3 linked regions of the Bombyx mori genome follow. The protein of the gene in region 2 purifies or fractionates together with the protein of the main gene of each other region. This does not show direct contact. Links are inferred from orthologs where the notes say so. Each region holds a gene or a part of one and is shown on either strand. Other genes may lie near its edges.

The links.
Region 1: the proteins of GATOR2 complex protein WDR24 (region 2) and GATOR complex protein NPRL3 purify together in Homo sapiens (affinity purification with western blotting; 6 studies listed by BioGRID and IntAct, with this or other methods). This does not show direct contact. The link is inferred for Bombyx mori from reciprocal best matches to the Homo sapiens genes WDR24 and NPRL3.
Region 3: the proteins of GATOR2 complex protein WDR24 (region 2) and protein SEC13 homolog purify together in Homo sapiens (affinity purification with mass spectrometry; 5 studies listed by BioGRID and IntAct, counting the BioPlex papers as one, with this or other methods). This does not show direct contact. The link is inferred for Bombyx mori from reciprocal best matches to the Homo sapiens genes WDR24 and SEC13.

What each region holds. Positions count from the first base shown.
Region 1 is NC_085124.1:9,506,848-9,510,508, forward strand, and holds part of GATOR complex protein NPRL3, read right to left. Parts: intron 2,931-3,661; coding exon 2,714-2,930; intron 2,225-2,713; coding exon 2,070-2,224; intron 1,724-2,069; coding exon 1,592-1,723; intron 819-1,591; coding exon 654-818; intron 121-653; coding exon 1-120. UniProt on the Homo sapiens protein: As a component of the GATOR1 complex functions as an inhibitor of the amino acid-sensing branch of the mTORC1 pathway.
Region 2 is NC_085114.1:15,877,695-15,880,561, reverse strand, and holds the end of GATOR2 complex protein WDR24, read left to right. Parts: intron 1-10; coding exon 11-166; intron 167-1,167; coding exon 1,168-1,296; 3' UTR 1,297-2,276; downstream 2,277-2,867. UniProt on the Homo sapiens protein: Catalytic component of the GATOR2 complex, a multiprotein complex that acts as an activator of the amino acid-sensing branch of the mTORC1 signaling pathway. The GATOR2 complex indirectly activates mTORC1 through the inhibition of the GATOR1 subcomplex.
Region 3 is NC_085131.1:3,993,729-3,997,452, forward strand, and holds protein SEC13 homolog, read right to left. Parts: upstream 2,738-3,724; 5' UTR 1,921-2,737; coding exon 1,351-1,920; intron 962-1,350; coding exon 590-961; 3' UTR 524-589; downstream 1-523. Other genes in the region: DNA polymerase epsilon catalytic subunit 1, read left to right, coding at 1-85; uncharacterized protein LOC101741756, read left to right, coding at 2,738-2,809, 2,888-2,947, 3,017-3,190, 3,270-3,413, 3,493-3,724. UniProt on the Homo sapiens protein: Functions as a component of the nuclear pore complex (NPC) and the COPII coat. At the endoplasmic reticulum, SEC13 is involved in the biogenesis of COPII-coated vesicles.

The sequences.
Region 1 (3,661 bases), on a different chromosome or scaffold from region 2:
GAGTCTGCGTTGCAACAGCCACGCCACGCAGCGGGCCAGCCGCGCCGAGCCCCCGCACCCGCCGCCCGCGCTCCGCGATATGTACCACAGCGGAGCCGGCAGAGAGAACTCACTGAGCATCTGCAAATACAGAAATAACGTAAATAAAATGACTAAACACAGATATTTTTTTAAATGTAATAATAATAGTAGGTAATTAATTGGTAGGCAGCGGCTTGGCTCTGTCCCTGACATTGCTAAAGTTCATGGGCGACGTTAACCACTCACAATCAAACAGACAAAGAGCCAACAACTTGTTCATCACACAATGTTTGCCCGATGTGGGAATAGAACCCACGACCCTCAGCGCAACAGTCAGGACCACTAACCACTGCACCACCGAGTCAGTCAGTTAAACTTTCTTTCGTTTTAGTAGCAATTGTCGAGGTTTATTGTCATTATTTTTTGGGATATTCAGTTTTTAAAATTCCGTTTAAAAATTAAAATCGAAATCTAAAATCGATAATCGAAAATCTTGTCTGTGATTATTGTCAATTTTCATCATTATAGGGTGAGCGAGCATAAGTAAGTTTCTATTGAACAATTATATTTTTGTGATACTTTAATTCCTTTATAAATTATAGTGCGTAAAGAAAATAATGAATGTCTCATACTTGCAATAAACATAGCCCAGGAAACTCCTTGGCGAATTCATCGACAAGAGGTGAATGTATGTGAATATTCGCGCCGGGGGCCACAACGTATACATTCCCTTCGCACAATGGATAGATCACCGTCGCTTTAGCCCAATACACTAAATGTCCAGTTAGTTGAGAGACCTAGAATAATTCGAAAAACATTTTACACAATTAAACCTGAAACGAAATATTATTGTCGCTCATAGAGCTAGCTTAGTTTGGTTTACTTTTTTATTTAAAGATTGGTATTCATTGTCCCTTTAAATACTACGCAAATATTATTTTAGGGTACAGAACAGTTTAAAAAATTTAATTTAAAGTTTTAATATGTAAGTGATAGAAATTGAAGTGAAGGGTTGTAAAAGGTAATTAATTTTGGTTTTTATTTTTGTACAGGTATGAACGGCATCGATTTTATGACCCACTTGATACTGAGTAGTCACCATTGTCGTTCATGGACATCAGCAACGGTACAGACACCACCAAGCCATTACCGACCAGCCATGTTTATATTTAAGCCTTGAAGAAGGCCGTATCATATCACTATGTGATTATCATTTTTTACCAATCACTTTGCTTTTAAGTACTCAAAACACGAACCGCTAATTGTGCTTATGCATCCTTTTATATCAATTATAATTATTTTATTCCGAGAGTATTCATTGAAACATACAAATGACATGTACACAATATGTATGTTAATTACTAGATAAGACTAGTTTAGTTAGAGTAAATAGTCACAGAACCCTGTTATATGTATACATTATTGATTTGATTATTGATTATAAAATAATGAGAAATTTAGCTCATATTGAATTTCTTAAACCAACTTGCTTTTTAGACTTCCTTTTAATCTAAAAGAACCTTAAAAATAATAAAATTTTGACTTATTTATGGATTTATACTGTTTATACCTGTTTGAATGTCAGATCCGCTTCTATGGCCAGTGTTTGAAGACTTTTTAGAGGGCTATATAGTTTAATAAGTCGCAGCAATGCAGAGCTGCCATCCAGTGGTATCGACGCCAACAAATCATTTGGATTCACCTTAAAGTAAATTAACAAAACAATTCACTAGTACAAGGATACAGTTCTTATATTAGAAACGTCAAATGTAGTAACGGAAAACATTATTGAGAAGAGTATTAAGCAGTAGGCAGCGGCTTGGCTCTGCCCCTGGCATTACTAAATTCCATGGGCGACGGTAGCCACTCACCATCAGGTGGTCTGTATGCCCGTCTGCCTACAAGGGCAATAAAATAAATAAAAAACTTGTGTTCTACTATTTTGATAATATTCTCATTTTAATTTGTTGAAGTCACTTTTCTTTTATGTTTAAAATTTTCAATATTCATAAACACTAAAAAAGTTGTATGTATATTTGATTACTTACAAGTAGTAGCATGCCGTGGTATGGCCTCAGTTTTTGCAAACATTTGTCTATTGTTTCCGGTTCTATTATCAATCCTCTGTTGTGAATTTGATGGGCTTTGTGGGGCAAACAGAAGGATAGAAGCACCCATTTATTTACACGTACTTGAACTATGCCTGAAAATTAAAGCAAAAGCTAATTTCATATCTAAATTGTTTTTGTATTTAAACCAAGTTATCAGAATCACTTGTTACTAATTAGGTATGATGTTGTCGTGACTTAAATGGAAAGGGCGTCTGGTGTACTTATATAGTGCGACTTGACCATTATGGTGTGCAAATTACACAGACAGATATTAATCGTTGCAATACGCACATAACATGTTCTGATGAGTCTGTGCGGTTACCAGCACCCTGCTTTTATTTGCTGCAAAGCCATAATTAATTTCGGTTCGAAGAGAAGACCAGCTGTTATACTATACATATAGTCGAGACATGTCTCATATCATAAAAGCGAGGGTATTTCAAGGGCAACATTCAGACTGTGAAGTTTTTCAATTCCAGTAACCACTTAATACCATGTAGGCCTAGTACAAAAGTTTATTGTACTAGGCCCACCAGTAAAATTTAGTCTAGATATGTTATATTTTAAGAAAAGTGTTTAACCTGTGCTACTTAGTTCCTCAAAGACAGATTTCATGGACCTAGCTAATGAACTCCTTTGTAATATTAAGTGGTAGGCAGACATTGGGCCTCCCTCAAGGCCATTATCTACACTATATGTTGTAGAACTAACAGAATGTCGGAGATTCTCTTCCTCTTCTTCATTATCACCATTAATTTCACTGTCGTTCCTCTCATTCACTTCATCATGAGCAGCTAGCTGTAAAAATATGAAAAAAAAAATTTTTATAGCTTCAGTTGGTGGACGAGCCCACGGTCCACCTGGTGTTAAGAGGTTACCGGAGCTCATAGACATCTACAACGTAAATAAAGCCATATATTGAGTACGAAAGGTCTGATTTTACAGTACAATAGCTACCCCACCCTTCAAACCGAAATGCATTACTGCTTCACGGTAAAAATAGGCAGGGTGGTGATACCTACCCGTGCGGACTCACAAGACGTCCTACCACCAGTAATTACGCAAGTTATAATATTTGGGGTTTGATTTTTATTACACAATGTTATTCCTTCACTGTAGTAGTCAATCGTAAAGATTTGTTAAGTACGTATATCATTAGAAAAATTGGTACTTGCCTGCGGTATTCGAAGACCTTCTTATCCTTTAGGCCACGACAACTTCAAAAATGCAACAACGAAACAAAATCTTTTTTGTCTCCACAACGCTGGGTCGGCAAAGAGAATGGTTCTATTCAATTCTCTTCTATCAGTCCTCATCTCAACACTCACTCCGTTCCTCTCTCTCTCTCTCTCTCTCATATCTTCCATTCACACACTCCATTCATGTCTTCTTCGTTCGACCTCTTCCCCCACACCATTTCCATACATCTCCTAGTCACTTGCATCTCCTCTCTACGCACCAAAACAACAAAACAAAATATTCAAAACACATTTTCCTGTTTTACTTTATACTACTTTTGATTCCTAAAA
Region 2 (2,867 bases):
GACATTGCAGGTGGTGCGGTGCGCCTGGCTGAGCAGCGTGTGGTCGTTGTCCCAGCAGTCCAGCAGCGTCACGGTGTGCTGCGGGCGCTGCGGCCGGCGCGCGCGGCCCCGGGCCATGTGCGACCGCTGCCTGCCCCACCCCGACCTGTGCGCCGTGTGCCGACAGGTAACACTGTCCCCCCGACTCGAGCCCCGTGCTGACAGGTAACACTGTCCCCCGACTCGAGCCCCGTGCTGACAGGTAACACTGTCCCCTCGACTCGAGCCCCGTGCTGACAGGTAACACTGTCCCCCGACTCGAGCCCCGTGCTGACAGGTAACACTGTCCCCCGACTCGAGCCCCGTGCTGACAGGTAACACTGTCCCCCGACTCGAGCCCCGTGCTGACAGGTAACACTGTCCCCCCGACTCGAGCCCCGTGCTGACAGGTAACACTGTTCCCCGACTCGAGCCCCGTGCTGACAGGTAACACTGTCCCCCGACTCGAGCCCCGTGCTGACAGGTAACACTGTCCCCCCGACTCGAGCCCCGTGCTGACAGGTAACACTGTCCCCCGACTCGAGCCCCGTGCTGACAGGTAACACTGTCCCCCGACTCGAGCCCCGTGCTGACAGGTAACACTGTCCCCCCGACTCGAGCCCCGTGCTGAAAGGTAACACTGTCCCCCGACTCGAGCCCCGTGCTGACAGGTAACACTGTCCCCCGACTCGAGCCCCGTGCTGACAGGTAACACTGTCCCCCGACTCGAGCCCCGTGCTGACAGGTAACACTGTCCCCCCGACTCGAGCCCCGTGCTGACAGGTAACACTGTTCCCCGACTCGAGCCCCGTGCTGACAGGTAACACTGTCCCCCGACTCGAGCCCCGTGCTGACAGGTAACACTGTCCCCCGACTCGAGCCCCGTGCTGACAGGTAACACTGTCCCCCCGACTCGAGCCCCGTGCTGACAGGTAACACTGTCCCCCCGACTCGAGCCCCGTGCTGACAGGTAACACTGTCCCCCGACTCGAGCCCCGTGCTGACAGGTAACACTGTCCCCCCGACTCGAGCCCCGTGCTGACAGGTAACACTGTCCCCCCGACTCGAGCCCCGTGCTGACAGGTAACACTGTCCCCCCGACTCGAGCCCCTCTACTCTAACTGTAATTCGGCCCCCGTGGTGCGGCAGGTGGTGCGCGGGCTGTACGCGTGGTGCCAGGGCTGCTCGCACGGCGGCCACTTGGAGCACATGCGCCAGTGGATGGAGAAGCACCAGCTCTGTCCCGCCGGCTGCGGACATCACTGTCAACTAGGCTGAAGTACTCCTTACAGAAAATGTTACTCTACAAAGTTTCTTCCATCATTGTATATCTTAGTTATACATCTTTTATAAAAAGAACATTTTGATAAGAGATTTATTTTGTGTAAAGTAAATACTCTTTTGTAATATTTTTTATTTACATTTAAGCATAGTTTCTGTTAGAATAAAATCTTAAAAATATGTGTTCGTTAAATGTAACCAATCTATTGAGACCAGCAACCTAAACTAGTCCTCGTCTACATTTGTATACATGTGTGCGATCTCACTGGGCGCGAGACCTCTTGTGAGTCCGCGCGGGTAGGTAAGGGCGATACAGCCGTTGTAACTATACTTGAGACCTTAGAACTTGGTGGATGGCGCATATACGTTGTAGATGTCTATGGGCTCCAGTAACCACTTAACACCAGGTGCGTTACTCTAAGCGGGCGATGACGTGCACGCTGAGACATACACCCTCCCCCTGCGACCTCCTCTTTCAAGACGAGCTCACGGCCCCCCTGGTTTTAAGTGGTTACCGGAGCCCATAGACTTCAATAACAAAAAATGAGCACTACCGAAATTGAGACAAGAGTTCTTCAGTCTCAGTTGTATCAGTACAATTATTACAGTACGCACGTAATTACTGCTAACTACATGTGATTTTTTGTCTGTAGTGTATGCAGTACAGCCATCCCTTGTTTAAACAGACTAAAGTTATCTAACTTAAGGCTTCCATTTTAAATTACTATTTTGGGTGGCCGCCCCACTGATATAACTTACAATAATACAATATTATATTGCATACTGAAATAGCTTCTAGTGTCGCGCCGCTGCTCATTATTATATTAATGTAGACAACACTCGATCAACTCGCGCTAAATAAAATTACATTTTAAATTTTATGGGAATTTATTAATATATTTACAGATTGTACAGATGCTATGTTTTTGTATTGAATATATTTTGTGAACAAATAATAAAGAAAACAACGCAACGTATGTAATCATGGTTTTATTTAATAAGTATTCTTATTTACAAACTGTATTTTGAGTGTATCATTGACAACAAGCTGACCACAGTGATATCTTCATCGGCGGTCATAGTGTTAGGCTGTTCAGATTTATGGGAGGTCGGACAGTTAACGTTAGTAGTGGAGGTGCTCGGTGACTTAGTACCGGCCTCCACAGACCCCGCCACTCGCCTCCCCCGGCCGACCCCGGGCGGGCCGCGGGAGGCGAGTCGTGACGTCTGCGCAGTGGCTGGAAATTACTTCCTTTATAAGTTAAACTAAGATATAGAACAGCACGACGGTTTGCATCTACCTGCGTCGTCGGGGGCGGGGTCCTCCTCGGCTGCGAGACCCCTCTTCACTCGTGACATCTGTCGGATAAGGGTCAGGAACGCCTGTCAAGTAATGGCGAGTCAGTTGTCGGACCGGTCAGGTTATAATCGAATTACATGCAGTTAATTTACATTAGAAACTCTTTGTTGACAACCATAAACAAGCAGATAAGCTAAACTTAGCTACAGGGCGTAACGCTCATGTATACAGCTCGAGAAGAACACAGCGAAACGTGTCTAATTTTACA
Region 3 (3,724 bases), on a different chromosome or scaffold from region 2:
ACTAATGACTTTTAAGACAATAGCCGAATATTATCAGATGCCATTATTGTTAGAACAAATTGACTTTAATCTTAAAAACATGTGATAGTTTGTATTTTAAGTATAATTTTTTTTATATATATTATGTCCCTTTGTTTTATTTCTATTGTCACAAACAATTAAGACAAGAACCCAAATATTTTTACCTATTCTAGTTATTCTGGCGACATATGGCAACATACTTTCCAAGGTGAAAAGTACATTTCTCTAATTTTTATTTCCATGTCAAGTATACATGTGAACTTTTCTCTTTAAACTAAAAATATCTCTTTAAATTCTATAAAATATACTATCAAATTGAAAATTATTGTGTACATTGACAATAGTGACTTCATCTCCTCAGCCCATGTTCAATACATACAGTAATAATAATCATAGCAATTTATTTAAAACCTGTTAGATATGTCACAACCCAATTATTGGATTATCAAATTGAATATATAGATTAAATCTGGGTTTTGATGAAGTTTATAAAAGATCAGTGTTAATGTACATATTTTATATTACTATTAGCAGATTACAAAATTAACAAATGAAATTAAAAGCAAATTCAAAGTGTGCTTCTTTCATCATTGGGTGTTTGGCCCAAACCTTTGGCAACTTCACTAATACATAACCACTGGCCATCAGTGCTCTCACGCCAAAGGCTGACTTTGTTATCTCCTCCTGATACAGCCAAGATGTTGCCAGTGAGAGACCAGCTAACACTCCATACTACATCATCAAATGTGTTTAATATTGTTGGTGTCCAAGATACATTATCATCACTAGACCATATGACAACCCTCTTGTCTTGGGAGCAGCTGGCAATCATGGAACGTTGTAATCCCAGAGAGGGTGCCCACGCTACATCTCTGACCCAATCAATGTGCAACTCTAATCTGTTCTCTTCAACCCATTGATCACCTTGCTCTCTCCAAATCTGAAAACAACAACCGGAATAACTAACTAAAAAAATTATAATTAAGAAGCATTATGATGTCATTAAATAGTAATCATTAAATACAGGGTTTATTAAGAACATATCGATAATAAAGGACAAGGTAATTTTAGGTAGATATATTAAAAAAATTCAACTAATTATTGTTGAAATATATCTATTTTCATTTAAAATTAACTAATGCATGCAATATATGATATTGTGAAAAGAAAAATTGCTGCCTTCTTTTTTTGCCTTATAAATAAATAACCCGGAATAAATCACACACATTCATCTGGCCCCAAATCAGGATTCTCTGTGGCGCAACAGTTAGGAGTGCTAACTACTGTAATACAGAGTCAGTAAACAATTAAACACAACTTGTAACATACCTTGATTAAATTATCACACCCTCCAGTAACTAATCTCTTTGGAGCATCTTTATTGGTAAGCGGATCTAAGTTCAAATCTGCAGATAAAGCTGGGCACCAACTAATAGAATTAACACCAATGGCATGTGCACCCGTTATCTTTTTTACGTCCCAATTACCAGTATCTTGTGAATATTGTATGATAGAGATTGAGCCATCTGAACTACAACAAGCGAGGATTAAGCCGTACTCAGCCGGCGCCCACGCAACAGAGTTCACAGAGCTTTCGTGTCCAGTGTATTCGTATAGTTTAGTCCACTCTCCAGACTCTTTCCATATGATAACTTTCCTGTCATAAGAGCATGACGCTAATAGGTTCCCATACTTGGGATGAGCCCAAGCTACCTGCCACACGGGGCCAAAATGACCCTTCAAATCAGCAGCCAATGTTTGTGTACCATTCTTAATGTCGTATATTTTCACTGAATTATCCGAAGAACATGTAGCTAGTTTTAGTCCGTAATAATCCAGTTCGGCGTCGTGTATCATATCTTCATGGCCGGTATCAATAGTATTCAAAACAGTGATCATTATTATATATTTTTATTAACCTACACAATACACAACGGAAAATGGGCAATCAACTGTCAAATCAGTTGACGTGGAATTTCAACAGTGCTACCAGTAAAATATTTTGTATCCATCCACACGAGCTATTTCGACATTGCAAAGACAGTCGCAGTGCGTCACCTCTAAACTTATTAGGTAAGTTTAACAATATAATAATAAAAAGTGGCAGAATTAAATTGCAGCTTCAACATACGCGACGCTACAACTGAATTATTCTTTTTATCAATTTTGTTATGGAAGCTAGAGATTTTCTTGATGATTCGAGATTATTGATCACATAGCTCCAACACAGTCTACAAAAAAGCACAAATATTTTAGTGCCAGAATGCCGCTCGTGTGTTAGAGGTCATAAATTACCTCTTTGGTATTATTTGTTAACCTTAGGTTAGCACAATCTTTGGTTAAGTTATTTATTTCTTTATTACTTTTTGCGCGTTACTTATGAAGTATCTCCCAAAAGTTTTAAGCATTTATATTTATAGCTAAACCTAAACTGTATGAAGATACTTTTATTGACATATCAAGACTAGGCCTCAAAAAAATTAAAAAATCTATGCTTTATGTAAGTAATAACCAAAGATTAAACACTGTGTCAGGTTACATTTGGTAGTTAACCAAAGATAATAAAGAGCTCTAGTAGAATCAAACAAAAATTCTGACAAGTCTGAAGCTGTTTTTTCTCTCATTCATCTAAATTCAGAATTGGATTGAAAATATTGATGAGCTAATTTACGAAAGTTTAAGAAATTATGAGAATTTCGTATCTGTAGACATCAAAATGTCTCAAAAAGAAGGAGGAATATTTTACAACATGCAATATTTATTACAACAAGATTATCGCGGGGTTAACGTATGTAGATAATTACAAGTTGATGTTGATAATAATAACTTTGTAAACGAAGCACTATCATCTGATTGTTGTTTACAGATAGCAGTATATGCTCTAGCCACCGCTGGTCTCGCCATATCTGTTCATAAGATTCGCCCTGTAAGTATTTGTTTAAAAAACCCTATATTAATAATTACATAACTATAAATAATAAAATTACTTCGATAGGTTAGCAAGTTTTCGAAAGCCAGTAAAGTTCCAGATCATTTCATCAGAAATCATGAACCTTTGAAAGGATTATATGCTGGAGTGCAACATTCACCAGTTCGTGTTCTGGTCAATCACAAAGCCCCAATATATTTACCGCTATGGCATTCCAGTAAACCTCCACTACCAGTTAAGGTAAATGTGATAAAAATATAACTTGTACGAAAATTTACCTACAAAGTAATAAAAATATTTTCTTTTTGTTTTGTTTTAGCTGTGGGGAATTGAAGTAGTTAGTGGGAATGCAGTCAATTGGCTGGAATGTGTTGCTAGGGGCCAGCAAGTGACATTAAAGCCAATCGGAAGAGATAATGATGATCTAGTTTCTACTGTATTATTGCATTTACCTCAGCCTAAGGTATATTTCAATTTAAACAAATTCAACAAAATACCTTAAATTATTAAAAATTACTCTTCAAAAATGTTTTCCATTTCAGAGTAAAGATGTTCAAACATTGGATATTGGTAAAAAATTGGTGGAGCTTGGATTTGCAAAAGCATCATTTCCTAAAGAATTAAAAAAGAATACCATTGAGTCACAAATTGCCCCTGCTCTATTATCAGCAGAAGCACAAGCAAAAAGCCTCAGAAACGGCATTTGGTCTGAGAATCTCCCACCAATTCCAGCATATATCGTTTATTGGAGAAAAGGTTCACAGCTTACTTTGG